Struthio camelus: one gene and its partner. Each later gene encodes a partner of the first gene's protein in a complex. Links are inferred from orthologs where the notes say so. Each region holds a gene or a part of one and is shown on either strand. Other genes may lie near its edges.

Region 1 (6,908 bases):
CATCTCATGCGTGCTCCACTGTCAGCTCCAGCATCAGGGATTTATCATCCAGGATTGAGGCAACACAGGCAACAGTGAATAATTCCAGATGGGAAGAAGGGGTGTTTTGCCAGCAGAGATCTCCTCCTCCCCAGTAAATGTGTAACAATTGGTTGGTCCTCAGCAAGTTCTCTGCCCAAAAGCATACTGCTCAAGTGATACACTTTGGAACAGCTCAACCTGCAGGTATCACTGCTCCTCCAGTAGGGCCACAGGCCTACCTAGGCACTGCAGAGATCTTGGCAAAGGGTCTAGAGAAACAGTACAAAGCTGCCAAAGGACAGCAAACACAGAGCTGGCAAACACAGAACTGGCAAAACAGACCATGGCTAATTGATGTGAAATAACTCCAATACTCATGAATTTATGGTAACCTCCCATTAAGGACATCTGATCTTTATGTATCTTAGATAGAGATAGCAAATGACACTGCAGATCAGTATTTGACAAGGTGACCCTCAGTTTCTGCCTTCATCCAGCCTTGTAGGTTTTCAAAATTAACATTAGGTCAACACCAAAGAGTCTAGAACCTCATTCTGATCTCTGCCCTCTGCACAGCTCCCATACCCCTTAAGTTTCATTTTCATTAACTTTCCAGTGGGACAAAACTATCATGAAAAATACTTCTGTTCTAGTCTAGCATTTTCTTTACTCTTTCCAGACTGGCAGCCAGGGCACTACAGTGACAGGTAGCGACTCCAGACTGACTCCTGCCACTGACCTACTGCACGACCTCGCTGTAAGGCACCACCATTCTGCCGCTTGCTTTCTGAATCTGTTACGAAAGCATGTAAAAACAAAGAAAAAATTCTTATCCAGGTTTGCAAATCCGTTCAAGATCTGCAGATGAGAAGAGCTAGAAGTAGTGCTGAGTATTATGATCCTTCTAGCAGGCAGAAATCCCAGAAACAAACTGTGGCAAACAAAATATAGAGAAATAGATCAACAGCAAGACGATTTCAGTTGGTTCAGATCCAATTTCTTACCAACATTAGGACTGATTTCCATTTCAATCAAATTTGCCTGCATATTCCTTGTGTTCGTGACAAATGATGACCATAAGTTCATACTCGGTTACTTTCAGAAACTAACACATTTCATTTGTCACAGTAACTGAAGTGACAGTAAAACATTTTGATTCTGAACAGTATACAAATAAACGGGGAAAAGGAGCTGTTACATGCTTCCGAGTCTACAAACACTTCTCCCTGACAGACAAAACAGAAAAAAAACATGGAAAGAAAAACACTGTCTGCTTAAAGGAAAAGATGAAGCCCAGGGCCTGATTTAGCTTCCTATTGTTTTCTCAGTTATGAGTCAAAATCCTGAAAAATGTACTAGATATCAGGAAAGGAAGAGAGGACATTGCACAATACTGGATTCCACTCTAAAATCTGCTGGGTACATTTGAATTAACTCTAGTAAGACAAATATAAGTCTGGATTTGAACAAGCACCCGATAGAGGATATGGTGTTGGGGTTGTGTTTTTGATTATGGCTTTTTATTCACACAATGACAAGAAAAATCTTTTAAATGAATGGCCTTGATTAATACCCACCAAAAAGTTCAAGATACCATAAATATGACTGGCTTATCACAAGGGAGGCCAAACACAACCCTCTCCCCTTTCTGAATAGGTACTCCAAGAGCAAAATGACGCAAAGATACCCACTTCTTTGACTGCTTTAATGATAGGCATAAGCACCAACAAACATTTATTTCACACGACAAGAGAAAGCCAGAATAGCTTAATTTTTAAAATGCAACTGGGTCAGTAGCTGCCACGAGCAGAATAAATGAGCTACATGAGTGACTATGCCCTAAGGAAACATTACCCTGTGGACCTAACTCCTGCAGCTTAGGACAAATAGGCCCTTTTAGAGCAGGATTTTTAAAAGCGCAAAGTGATTTGGGAATACAAGTCCCATAGGTTTTCACAATGCTCGAGAGCACTATCTCTGGGCTCTTTTGAAAATTCTATCCCTAAACTGTTCTCAGCTGCACAAGGTAGAAACCCCTGGTGATACTTAGCTCATGAAGACGAGCAAGTTCTAGCAATGCGCATATAGGTACCATCGTGTAATCAAGGATTTTCAAATCTCTATAATCATCAATTAGGCCTCCAAACATCCCAGTAAGCTAGAGAAGTACTGTTCCCTTAATTATACCAATAAAAAAAAAAAAAGAGCTATGGATAACTCAAAAGACCAATTTAATTAAAGTTACACAACATGTTAAAACTTGGTGCTTGGGAAGAGCACCCAAGCCTGTACTCCCATAGCTAAGCTCTTAAAACTAAACAGTTCTCCCTCCCCTTACATGACTGCAGCACAGCACAAGCAACCGACTTTTGTAAAGCTCAATGCACACTTCACAGGGAGCAGGTACACTCATGAATATTTGCACGGGTCATTATTATCTACAGTCACCGAGCTACCTGTAAGCAACAGAACGTACGTCTTTGCACTGTCAATTAAACAGAACCGTTGTTGCAATTACCCCTACTAAGCGGCCTGTTCCGGCTCCGGGATCTGCTTCGCTGTCTCTGAAGTCGTGACCTCCGGAGCAGTCGATAGTAGTAAGACGGTCTCCCAGAACTTTTCCTGCTGTTCATTGACATTTTTGTATCTATTTTACACATACACACATGCAGGCACAGGTTCACTCTCCCCCTCTGGCAAAGTAGCAACAGTTCCAGCGTTTAATTAACAGGAGGTTGGTTCTTTGGAGTGGAAAGGGGGAGTGGGGAAGAGGAATTCTTCACTTTATACATTTAAAAAGAAAAACAACAGCAAGAAGAAAACAAAAAAAAGAGAGAGGAAAAAAAAAAAGAACGCAGCACCACGAGTACATGTCTCAGCAGAGGGAGGACTTGCAGCGAGCAAGATAAACTGTACTAACAATTCCTGCCCCCAAAAAGATAAGCCTGCTGGAGTTGGAATAGGAAGCCAGAGTTGGCCTGGGCTCTTGAAAAAACGAAGGAAAGGCTGGAAGAAATCCTGGACTGGATCATCTCCACTGGACAGCAACATCTGATCAAAGCGTACCGGCAAAGGTAAACATCTTGCTGCATGAAAATGTCTGGGCAGCCTTAGTTTCTACCTGCCCCAACCTTCAGATCATTTCGGAGATGGGAGTTTCAGGCAGCTTGGTTTGCAGCAGGAGATATCTACGAAAGACTGGAGTGGGGAAGGGTATAATGATTTCCTGACCATGGGACACATGTTAATAATCATCATGGAGCACAAGCCCCAGAAAATAAAGTGAAACTTGAGAGGGGAAAACTTTAATTAGAACTTGAATGAACAGAGCTTCAGACTCCCCTGGAGGCCCATTTCCTTTCAACATTCAAAATGAGTTATAGCACATCCCACGAAAGAGCCTATGTAGCATTCGGGTTCTGATGGCAGTGAAGATTCTGTCTTCAGCTCATATTGCTCAATAAAATTACATTTCAATGGGCAGAATTAACACTTTAAGCCATGGAGGAAAGGAAAAGAAAAAAAAAACAGAATAACCAGATAAAAAATTTCACTCCGTATTTACAGTAAGATGTGAATTGTCCAGAGTCTTTCATCTGGGCTCCTTCCCTTGCTAGCACAGAAATGCTCTGAAGAAACAGCAGTAGATAAATTTTAGAAGATCAGGCTGCTAGCCAAGAACTTAATGGGCTACCTTTTCTTCTCTGAAGCTGGTATTTACACTCCAAGATAACACAAAAGCCTGATCAGAGCGGAATGAACTCCTGGAAAACAACATCTGCACAATAACTTACTGGTGTTGTACCTTCAATAGCAAAAGGCAGAAATTATCAGTCTTCAGTACCTTCACTGCAACATCTCTAGTTAGTGCTTCATTCACTGAAGGAAAACTGTAGTTCCACAAGAAAGAGTCCCTTCCTCACTACCAACAATCCACTGTAATTTCAGAACTTCATAAACTTGTGTAGTCATGGAAAATGTTAGAATTTTACAAAATCCATTTTTATTTTACATACTGAGTAGTAAAAACATGACTATTAGTTGAGAAAGGCCCTTCCAGGAGAAAAAATAAGTCTCAGTCTTTAGTAAAATCCATGTCTGGTTTTGAAGCCACACATAAAGAATTCAAGCCAGCTTTTAGACAGTGCAGGAATGAGCCAATCAACAAGGCAATGATAAGTTCAGGTCAAGGAAGCAAGATCCCAGCTGGACAACAGAGGCTCCCACTGCCTTGTACCAGGGGGATGTTACACCAGGACATTCCACGGCCGCTTCCATCCAAACGCACCATCACTCAGCAAATCATGCAACACATCACAACAAAAGAGGAAAAAGCTTCAGTTGCTACACAATCTGCCTTCATATTTTCATCCAGACTTTTTGTTTTGATATTTGAGTAGATGTAAAAACAAAACAAAATACAGAAACACCAAAAACATTTTCCAGAAGATTAGAGATTCATCCTATGCAGTCGATTCAATGCACAAATAGAGCTAAGAACTTGTATAAGATAGTGATGGGAAAGTCTGAAAATATTGACGTATCACAGGCAAGAAGCCAAATATTCGGGTGTCTCTCCGCGTTTATGTGTCCTAATAATTGAGCTGGTAATCTCTTATGAGAATCTTTATAAGATTACGCTTTAGATCATTAGAAATGCCTTGAAAATAGCCTATCCAATTTATTTTTCCTTTTGTCATTCCCAACAACAAAAAGGCAGAGAGGGAAATTAAAGTTTAAACAAAGATGTTATTTAAAAAGCTCACCCAAATTCAGAGGGTCTGAAAGGGTAAGGTTCACTTAGTTTGGTTTTGCTTAATTGGAACCAGGTGGCTCATCCTCAAACCACCTGGGATGTTGGTGAGATAGTCACTGGTGATCGTGCCAACCTCTCTGAACAGGTGGGAATGATCAGGAGATCTAGGGTGATGGGCCTGCATTCGTTGTGCGTTCACTCACATGTACTTAGGCATCTGTTCCATGTTGAGGGATTTTTTTAAATCAACCTAATACCTCCAAGAAATGTTCATGCAGGTGACCAGAAAACAGGAGAAGTTAATGAGGGACTATAAACTATCATGACAAGAGAAAGCCTTATAATAAAAGCACAAACGGCTGGGAGCTTTGTTCAAGTTTAGCGAGCTTGCCTCTGTTTCTCTCTCACTGCCTCAATGTTTTTGAAGGCATTAAGTTCAGCTGCTACACAGCAGCAAGCAACAAAATGAATGACCCATCTGGGAGGGAATGTGGCTGGTCTGGACCTTTCCAATTAATCTAGAGCTGCCTTCCCCTCCCCCCACTTTTCTTGAAAGCCACATCCTGACACAAACATTCTTTTGTGTACAGCAGAATCTACCACGTGCAAATCTGAGATATATTAACTGCCCTGGAGAAAAGCTGACAACCTTAAAATTTCTATCTCTAAAATGACACATCACAGTCTGGCCAGGCTGTTCCCTCCAAAAAGCAGCAGGATGAGTTCAGTCATTGGACTCTACTGAATCTCTCAATAAGAGGACCAAATTGAGCCAAATGTAGCAGTGATTTCTTAGGTGCTAACCACCATACACTGAACAGAAACCTAACTCATGAAATTAAATATCCATCCGACCTGCAACATCCAGTTGACCTGTCCTCCCCTGCCGTATGTTTGCGTTATCTTATTATTAAGCCTTCCTAAAACTGGACTTATTTCACTTCTTTACTAAAACTAACAGCACATGCATAAATTTTAAATTAGCACCAAAATAAGTTCTAAGATGGAGAGCTACACAATCAGTGGTGTGTTTGCTTTGACATCAAAGGGGCAGCAGTTGCCTGAGGGTTTGCTCAGCTACAGTGGGGCTGTTTGGTCCATGGAAGCTGACAGAAGACATCCCTCCCCAGTGGCTAATACTTGGCTTTTTTATCATTTGTTTATTGCTTAGTGCTGGGGAAATAATGACTGCTTTTCAAAACCCACATTCCCAAGGCAGCTCCTACCATTAAACCTCTCACTTTCCCAAAGGGCTTTAGAGGGAAACAATTATTAACTCTCTGTGATTTTATGGCAAAGAATTTGAATTCTTTATTCTTAAAATGAAAGTTCCAGTGCTTGGTCATTACATCCAAGTCCTGGCCCCAAATGCTCTATTTGCAAAGGTATGAGACCACACTAGCTTCTCTACACAATTAATTAATGGCCTCTTAACTTAGACTGCTTTCTAGAGGACAACAGTTTTAGTTAATTTTATTTCAGTTTTGCAAATTCTTTCTGAAAGAACTAAACTGAGACTTTCAAAAGTTTAAAAAAAAAAAAGTTGTTCCTTAGCTGGTACAGAAAGGACAAGTGGTGGACATTAGCACAATTTCTAGTTTGCACTGGTCGGTATCATCAAGATACTGAAAAAAATCACTGGCTGCAGCCTGTCATAACTACACTGCTTCTGAGAAATAATTATATTTCTTTCACAGTCTGAGGCAAAAGGAATAAGGGAATAATCCCTAAACATACTTACTTACCTTTTTAGACATAAAAGAAATATAACAATATTCTTACAGGATCATAGACACTTGCAGAATGTGTCTGCTTGAATTTGCTTACAAGTTCAGTGCAATTTTCAGTTTAGCATACTATGAAGCTGGACTATTTCCAGGCTTATTGCCTCAAGGCTACCAGGAATACATAAGTTCATATGCAAAGCCAGAGAGGAAAATAATTTCCTTTGTATAAGGGTAACTTACTTTCAATTCAGCTATACCAACAGAAGTAGAACAGACTTGGTTTTCAAGCAGCAGTGTAAAAGAAGTTTGTGCTGAAAACATTCAACTCTAGCCTTCTTCATGTCCTAACCTCCCAACAGTTAGGTTTTCCAAACCTATTCTTTACCTCATCAGAAAGGACCTTT
Region 2 (6,988 bases), on another chromosome or scaffold:
TTTATTTAAGGGTTACGCTTGTTCACACAAACATGTAGCTTTTGTGCAGCATTTTAATTACAGGGAATAATATTCTTGTCTTTCCACAAGGAAGCTTGACAGCTTAGAATAAAAATCTAATTTCCTGTTTTTAGAAAATACTTTTTTTTTCCATTAGCAAAATCAGTATATTAAACCTATCTCCTACAAGATTTTGTTCATGCCATCAACACGATATGACATGTTCTGCAACTCTTCTATGAGCATGAATGGTCTGAGTTGAACACCTTTCTCCTGACTCCTTATTTTAAACGTGGACTGAAGTCCATTAGTCTGCAAATAGGTTGTCCTTCATAATTGTTATTTAAACGATTACAACAACAGTATATACAACAACAAAGCAATATAACTAAGTACCAGCACTGTGTAAAACTAAGTACTACTGTTTTGCTTCATACTTTGTAAGTTAAACAAAAGCAGCTGTTCCTATCTGCAAGCGGCTTGTGACACATACGTATGGGAACTTGCATACAGCTCCAGTGCAGTCCATCAGTTGAGTTCCACATATTTTAAGTTTTTATAATTTTGAGATGAAACAGTAGCAGTCAGAGGTCCTGAGCAAGGCATAAGATAGCTGTCCTCTGAACCTTTTAAGAAGCGGGCTGACCTAGGCTCTTACCCTCAGCTATATCCTTTTTAACCTAACAGAGACAACTACACTTAAACCACAGAGCAAGAGGCCTCAGACAAAAACTGTGTTTTAATGCAAGACTGAATAATATTTCCTCAACTCCTGTTCTCCCCACATTAAGGCTCTGAACTACCCATTAAGAACAAAAACAAAAGATCACACTTGGGAAAAAAAAAAAAAAAAAAAGGCAATCCGGCAACAGCCCCCACGAGCCGAGGAGGCCTGAAGGAGCACCACTGTCCCGCAGGCAGATGCGCCTTCCCCTCATCTCCTGGGGTGTAAACGGGGCGGGCGGCAGGCCGCGGCGAGGCACCGGCAGCTCAAACCTCCCCCCGGCAGCAGCGGCCCAGGGCGGAGGCGAAGGCGCCGGCGCCGTCCCCGGCGGGGGGCCGCCCGGGGCGGGCACGGGCGGCCGGAGCCCCCCCCCCCGCAGCTCCCAACGGCCGCGGCGGGCCGGGCCGCCCGCTGCCGCCCTCCCCCGCTCATGCCGCTGCCTCTCACTTACCCACTCGTTGGCCTTGGGGCTGAAGCTGTAGAGCGCTACCTGGCCGGTCACGTCGGCGATGCTGGTGATGTAGGGGTCGTGCTGCTTTAAGGCCGCCAGGCTGATCTCCTGCCCCGCTCTGCTCAGCGACTCCATCTTGGATCCCGGCAGCAACCGCGGGGGCGGGCAAGAAACGGCGGCGCGGCGTCCCCGGCGCACCCGTCCCCGCCGCCGGCCGGAGCGCCGGCCCCGCGCCTGCCGTTCCGCGCCGCGCCGCGCCGTTCCGTTCCGTTCCGCTCCGCTCCGCTCCGCTCCGCTCCGTGCCCGGCCGCCCCCGCCGCCTCCTTCGCCCGGAAATAAGCCTCGAGCCTTCGGTGCTCGCCGCCTTCGGGTTTTGTTGGGGGCGCTCTGACCACTCGATGACACTGCCGTTTGTGGAAGGGTACACGTTGACCCGACTGCCATTGAACTGCAGGGCCTGGGCCGTCTGGCTTAAAAATGAAAACGCTTTTCAAGTTTGAGGGTTAACGTTCAGCTGACACCCAACAGTTAGAAGGGGGCATCTCTGAGCTTTCCCGTATGTCCGTCCGCAGGCACCGAGGGTTTCCTCGGTTGCCGTACGCCGTGTCCCGGAGGCCTCTGCCCCGCGCCCCCGCCAGCCCAGCGCTGGGGCCGTGAGCAGGTGGCCCGGATCCCCTCGGGCCCCGGGTGCCCCGGGTGGGCCCCCCCGGCGCTATGGCTGAAGGGGGTCCAGCCCTCCCGGCACGGAGGGATCCCGACCTCCAGCCCCGGCCGAGCCCCGTGCCTTGTCCCCTCGGGCCCGCTGCCCTGCATTTGCAGCCCACCGTCTTCTTCCGAGCTGTTTCTCCACGCCTGGGCGTTTCTTCATGGCAATGGGACAGGTTAAGCAAAGGTCTCCGCGTTGCACCCGCTGTGAGCGGTCATTGTTTCTATCGTTGTCATTTATTTGCTAGCGTTACTAGTATGAAGGCTTCTGAGTTCGCGGCAGGCAAGCGCGCGAGGGGCTGCGAGCTGGGTCATGGGGTGGCGGAGCGACCTCCCCGTGGTCGGTGGTGTCTGTTCCCTCCCGCTCTCCCTGGGCCACGCAGCCGAGAAGCGGGTGGGTGGGAGGTTGTTCCTGCCGGGCGTCCGCTGCGGCGGGCGCCGTCGGGGAGCGGAGCCTGCTGAGGAGGGCGACGGCGGGTGGCGCGCAGAGCTGCGGTCTCTGCCTCGGGGGCTCCCCACGCTTCTCGCAGCTATTCACCATTAGCTGGTGTCCGAATGCTTCACAGTCTGCAGCAGGACTTGGAGTTTCCAATATGTTAAAAGAATTTTGGAATTAAGAACTTTCAATTTTCTCAGGTATAGTAGACATAGCAACTCGCGTATGTGGTACAAATTGTACGCAAGTAATGTTGGAGCAATGACAAGGTAACATGCTGTGCTCTCTCAGCTTTGTTCCTGCAATTTTTTTTTAATCGTAAGTGATATTTTAGCAACAGGAAAGTATAAAATATACACTTAGGACCAAGACATGAATAACATTCAAAACAATATCACAGGGATTTACACTTGGTAGCATTTTGTGCAATCTGACAGGAATAAAACAGCATTGTAAATTTCGAAACAAAACCATCTTTGTGGCAAGATGGTTTCTTTCTGACCCTTCTGGGAATGCAAGGAAGTTCCTCTAAGCTCTGTATTACCAGGTCATGTTCTTCGTTGCAGGCAGACACACTCCTGATTTTAATTCAATTAGCTTTTCAGTTTAGACTTCTCCCGCAATGACAGACGCTTAATGCACAAGCATCAGCAATGATCCAGCAGGTCTGTGGCTCAATAAAACATCTTCCTCATGAACAATGGACAGGCCCAGTTCCGGTATCATTTTTTTCCGTAAAAGTAAAGCTTCTTGGAATGAACATTAATTTATGTCTTTTGTTGTTAAATAGTTCTAATTTAAAGTAAGCAGACATTTTTTAGAAAAAAAAAAGTGAAGTTTGGACAAAAAATTCCCATGTAGCTCATTCCAATAACTCACAGCTGAATCCTTAGACCTAAGCATCAGTAAAAAAAAAAAAATCATAAAAATCATATGATATGTCTTAGAGAGTTCTATGAAACTTTCATCCCCTTCTAATGATTTTTACCACAGGAGGGCATGATCTATTCCATAAAATTTGGCTTTTCACTGGTTCTGTTAGTAAAGTGTGTAAAGCTGTTCTCATCAAAGAGCAAACAATGACAGTTAGCATAATGTTAAAAATATCTTCATGTAAAATGTCCAATTACTATTCAGTAACACTCTAACTTGAGAAAAGATAGTATGTAGAAGTTAACATTTGAAAATTTTTTAACAAGAGGGTGTTCAACATTCTAAGGGCTCAAGTGAAACAGCAACAAAATGACAAAAACCTTTTAACATTTTATTTTAAATGGCATCTTTAACACCTGCACCAATCTACTCCTTTCTTTTGAGTCAGACTCAAGCAAGACTACTGTAAAGCAAAGATATATTTCAAAGTAAGAAACTTCTTGACAAAGGACAGCTTTCTGCTGTGCCAGATCTTCTCAAGCATGAAAACTCCTTGGCTGCGTCTTGAATTAAAAGTGAAGCATGAGGAGCATTGATAACAAAAACAAGTGGTGGTTTCCGCTTATGGATTGTTTTCCTCCTTCATCTGCTAATTCCAATTCTGCCTTACAGAGAATGTATTCTCTCTGCCCTTCTTCACTGCTATTGCCTTAGAATGAAATATTTTATATCAGAAATGAGTCATACGGCCTACCATCTGCTTCCTCAACCTTGAAGTACACCAAAGTATAACATATACTTAGCCTCAAACTTTGACCTCAGTGTAAACTGAAATGTTAGTTATATCCATTTAGGCTTGTTCTATGACTATTATATTTTGCAGATATCTTTGTCCTTCTTTGGAGTTACTCAGCAGTTAGTGCTGGGGAAATGTTCATCTCTCACTATTTCTGATTCTTGCGCTAAACCAGACAGAAGTGGGATGATGTAGATAATGCCCTTCTGATGTTTTCTCTGTGAGTGGGACAGATTCCATTTGTGTTTCAACAAGTGAAGAGAACATTATGTTCTGTATTTCAGTTATTCAGCTGAGGTTTTACAGGACAGGACATGCTGGTTTATACCTTAAGTACTGTTAATCTGTTTGATACAAATTAATGTTCAAATAGGCTAAATAATAAGACCCTTTTTTACCCCTTCAGTTGCTTGTGACAGCATGACTGGGTCTTTCTATTGCTCCCTGCTCTACTCTTTGGAGTTGTGCAAACTCTTTTTCTTTTTCACACAGCAGATTGTTTAAATATTCCTAAAGCGTATTTGGAGCACAGTCACTCCTTTCAGACTTGATAGAGAAAAAGTCTTCTTCAGTGTGCAGTCCCTTTAGTTTTCCCCTGTCAGCTGAATATCATTAGGAAGGAATATATTGCTACTGTTAAGATGATGGAGAAGGGCAGTAAGCATTCCTAGTCAATGCATTTTCTGTTATTACTAAAAGGAGAAGTAGGGCGCAGTAGATTTGAGCATTCACACAAGTCTGAGTGACTCATAGAGCTAATATTCTATCTTTGCTGTTTTCCACTTGAAAAAACTGTCAGAAGTTTCTGGTATCATAAGATATTCTGCAAATGACAACGCTTTTATTGGTTTGCTTATTGATATTTTCCTTGAATTGTAATAGCTTGGTGTATTTATTAATAATTTTATTGGTATTCATACCTTACATTTCAATGATAATGACTCTAATTCTACAGACTCCATTTATTTGGGTTTAGTCCTTGCTAGTGCAAATTGCCCTGATGATGACTTTCTTCACCTATAACTTAGTGGACTTTTATTTTGTATTTTAATTCCCTGAGCAAGCCTGCAGATGCATAATCTGTCCTTTTTATGGGGGATGCCAATTTCTGTTATTGAAAAGGGGTTAAAACAAGAAGCGAGGATGCTAGAAATTTTCTAGGGTTGCCATTTTGTTTGCAAAATCATTTTATTTCACAGGAAGAATTACTTGAGGATTTTTATTTGCTTATTACTTATTACAATATTTACTTCAGCTGAATTCTTTCCTTTACTGTGAATTTGCATTCGATCTTTTCCACTGGCGAGGCTGCCATTTCCTGATACTCAGTCTCCTTTCTATGTACAAATAATTCTTCATGTGCTGAGTTTCCAACCTGATAGAGAATAACTGAAAACTGCTAGAGTTTGAGATAAGGATCCATCACTTTGTAGATGAGATTTGTAGAAATCTTGTCTTTTGAGGATTAGCACAAAAATGGGCTTTTATGCATACTCAACAACAGTTTATAGCATATTTATGTACTTCAAGAAAAATTACCTTGCCTGGCACTTACTCTGCTCTTTACTCTGGGAGTGCTGAATGAATCACAAGCTTTTCATAGATCTTCAGACTTGCAGTATGCTCGTCCTGTACTGATGCTGCATCTACAGAGACCTTATTGCAAATCCATGGTCACAGATACTTATTTTCAGTGAAAAATCTTTTCCCACCTTTAGAGAAAAGTTTTCTAAATTGTTACATAGTACAGTGCTATGTAGTGGCCACATTTTTAGTTCTAACTGAGTTTTTTAAAATTTGGATACTCTTTAGTATCTGTTGGTCACCACTCAATTTCCTTTTATCCTTCTTCCCTTGGTTACTCAACTAAACTTGTTAGATCACTTGCTGATTGTCATTAGAATAATGTACCTCCAGATGTGCAACTGGTATCTTTCCCTTGGACTTTTAGCAACTAATTCCATGATAAATTTGTGCATTCATAGTGTCCTACTTGGGTGATACACTTAACAAGAATTGTAGGCAAACTGAGGAGACTCCAGAAGAAAGCTAGAAGAATGGCAAAAGCCTTGGAAAACATGCCTTGTAAGAGAAAGCAAAATGAATTACTAAGTTGCTTAGTCAAAAGAAACAGAAAATTAAAAGAGAACATGACTGTATTTTGATGTGTAAGAGGTTGTTACAGAAAGTGGTTATTCTCCACAGCTACTGGCAAAAGGACAAGATGAAATCAGGTTAACGCGCAGCAAAAAAAATTAGGCTGAATTCCTAACAATTCTGATCAGTAGGAATAGGTAAGGAATATAACAAGCTACCAAAGGATGCTATGGCATTTCCTTCACTTCTGTTTTTTAAGACCAAATGATACAGCATCTGTCAGGATGGTCTTCACATACTTGGTCCTACCTCTGTACAGAGGCTTTTAGTTAAGGTAATTATTCCATTCTGCTATTGTATCAATTTCCTCCCACCCTTCACAGGAGATTACTACCCTTTTATTTGTGCCAAGTGAATTGTTCAAGTCAGATTTATGAAATGAGCTAACCATATATTTCTACAGTTCTTCACACTGAAAGGGACAGTTTCTGGCCTGGGTTTTGTCTAAAGAACTGGGTTCTTTTGGGGACGACATCTGCAAATACACTATGGATGGATAGAGAGCAGTGCTAATCTAAAAAAATAAAATCCATGGGATTCTCCTTTTTTTTGGAAGATTGTTGCTTTGAAGTGACAACATATAAGAAAGTTTTGGGACTGCATACCTACCCAGCTGTAGGTATGGGCTTTTTACTGTTTCTGCGCTCTACCTAAAATAGAGATAATGTGTAACCATTTTGTAAAGTATCTGAGTTCCTCAGAGAAAATCCTGCAATACTGAAATCTGAATTTAGCTACAAATTACTTTGGGCTCATTTCTTTCATATAACAGTTGCAGTCATGATTCTGTAACAGGAATGGATGATTTTTTCTTTTTTTCTTTCCTTTTTTTCGCTGTGAAGTTGG

Evidence for each region. Proteins that work in one complex are often made in the same cells at the same time.
Region 2: DAB2IP (region 1) and DCP1A share a complex: the UniProt entries of both Homo sapiens proteins name them as parts of the cytoplasmic complex. The link is inferred for Struthio camelus from reciprocal best matches to the Homo sapiens genes DAB2IP and DCP1A.

Annotation. Positions count from the first base shown.
Region 1 is NC_090961.1:2,780,302-2,787,209, forward strand, and holds the start of DAB2IP (disabled homolog 2-interacting protein), read right to left. Parts: upstream 3,002-6,908; 5' UTR 2,682-3,001; coding exon 2,540-2,681; exon of another isoform or gene 2,498-2,539; intron 1-2,497. UniProt on the Homo sapiens protein: Functions as a scaffold protein implicated in the regulation of a large spectrum of both general and specialized signaling pathways.
Region 2 is NC_090955.1:17,443,731-17,450,718, reverse strand, and holds the start of DCP1A (mRNA-decapping enzyme 1A), read right to left. Parts: upstream 3,015-6,988; 5' UTR 1,620-3,014; coding exon 1,176-1,619; intron 1-1,175. UniProt on the Homo sapiens protein: Necessary for the degradation of mRNAs, both in normal mRNA turnover and in nonsense-mediated mRNA decay. Removes the 7-methyl guanine cap structure from mRNA molecules, yielding a 5'-phosphorylated mRNA fragment and 7m-GDP.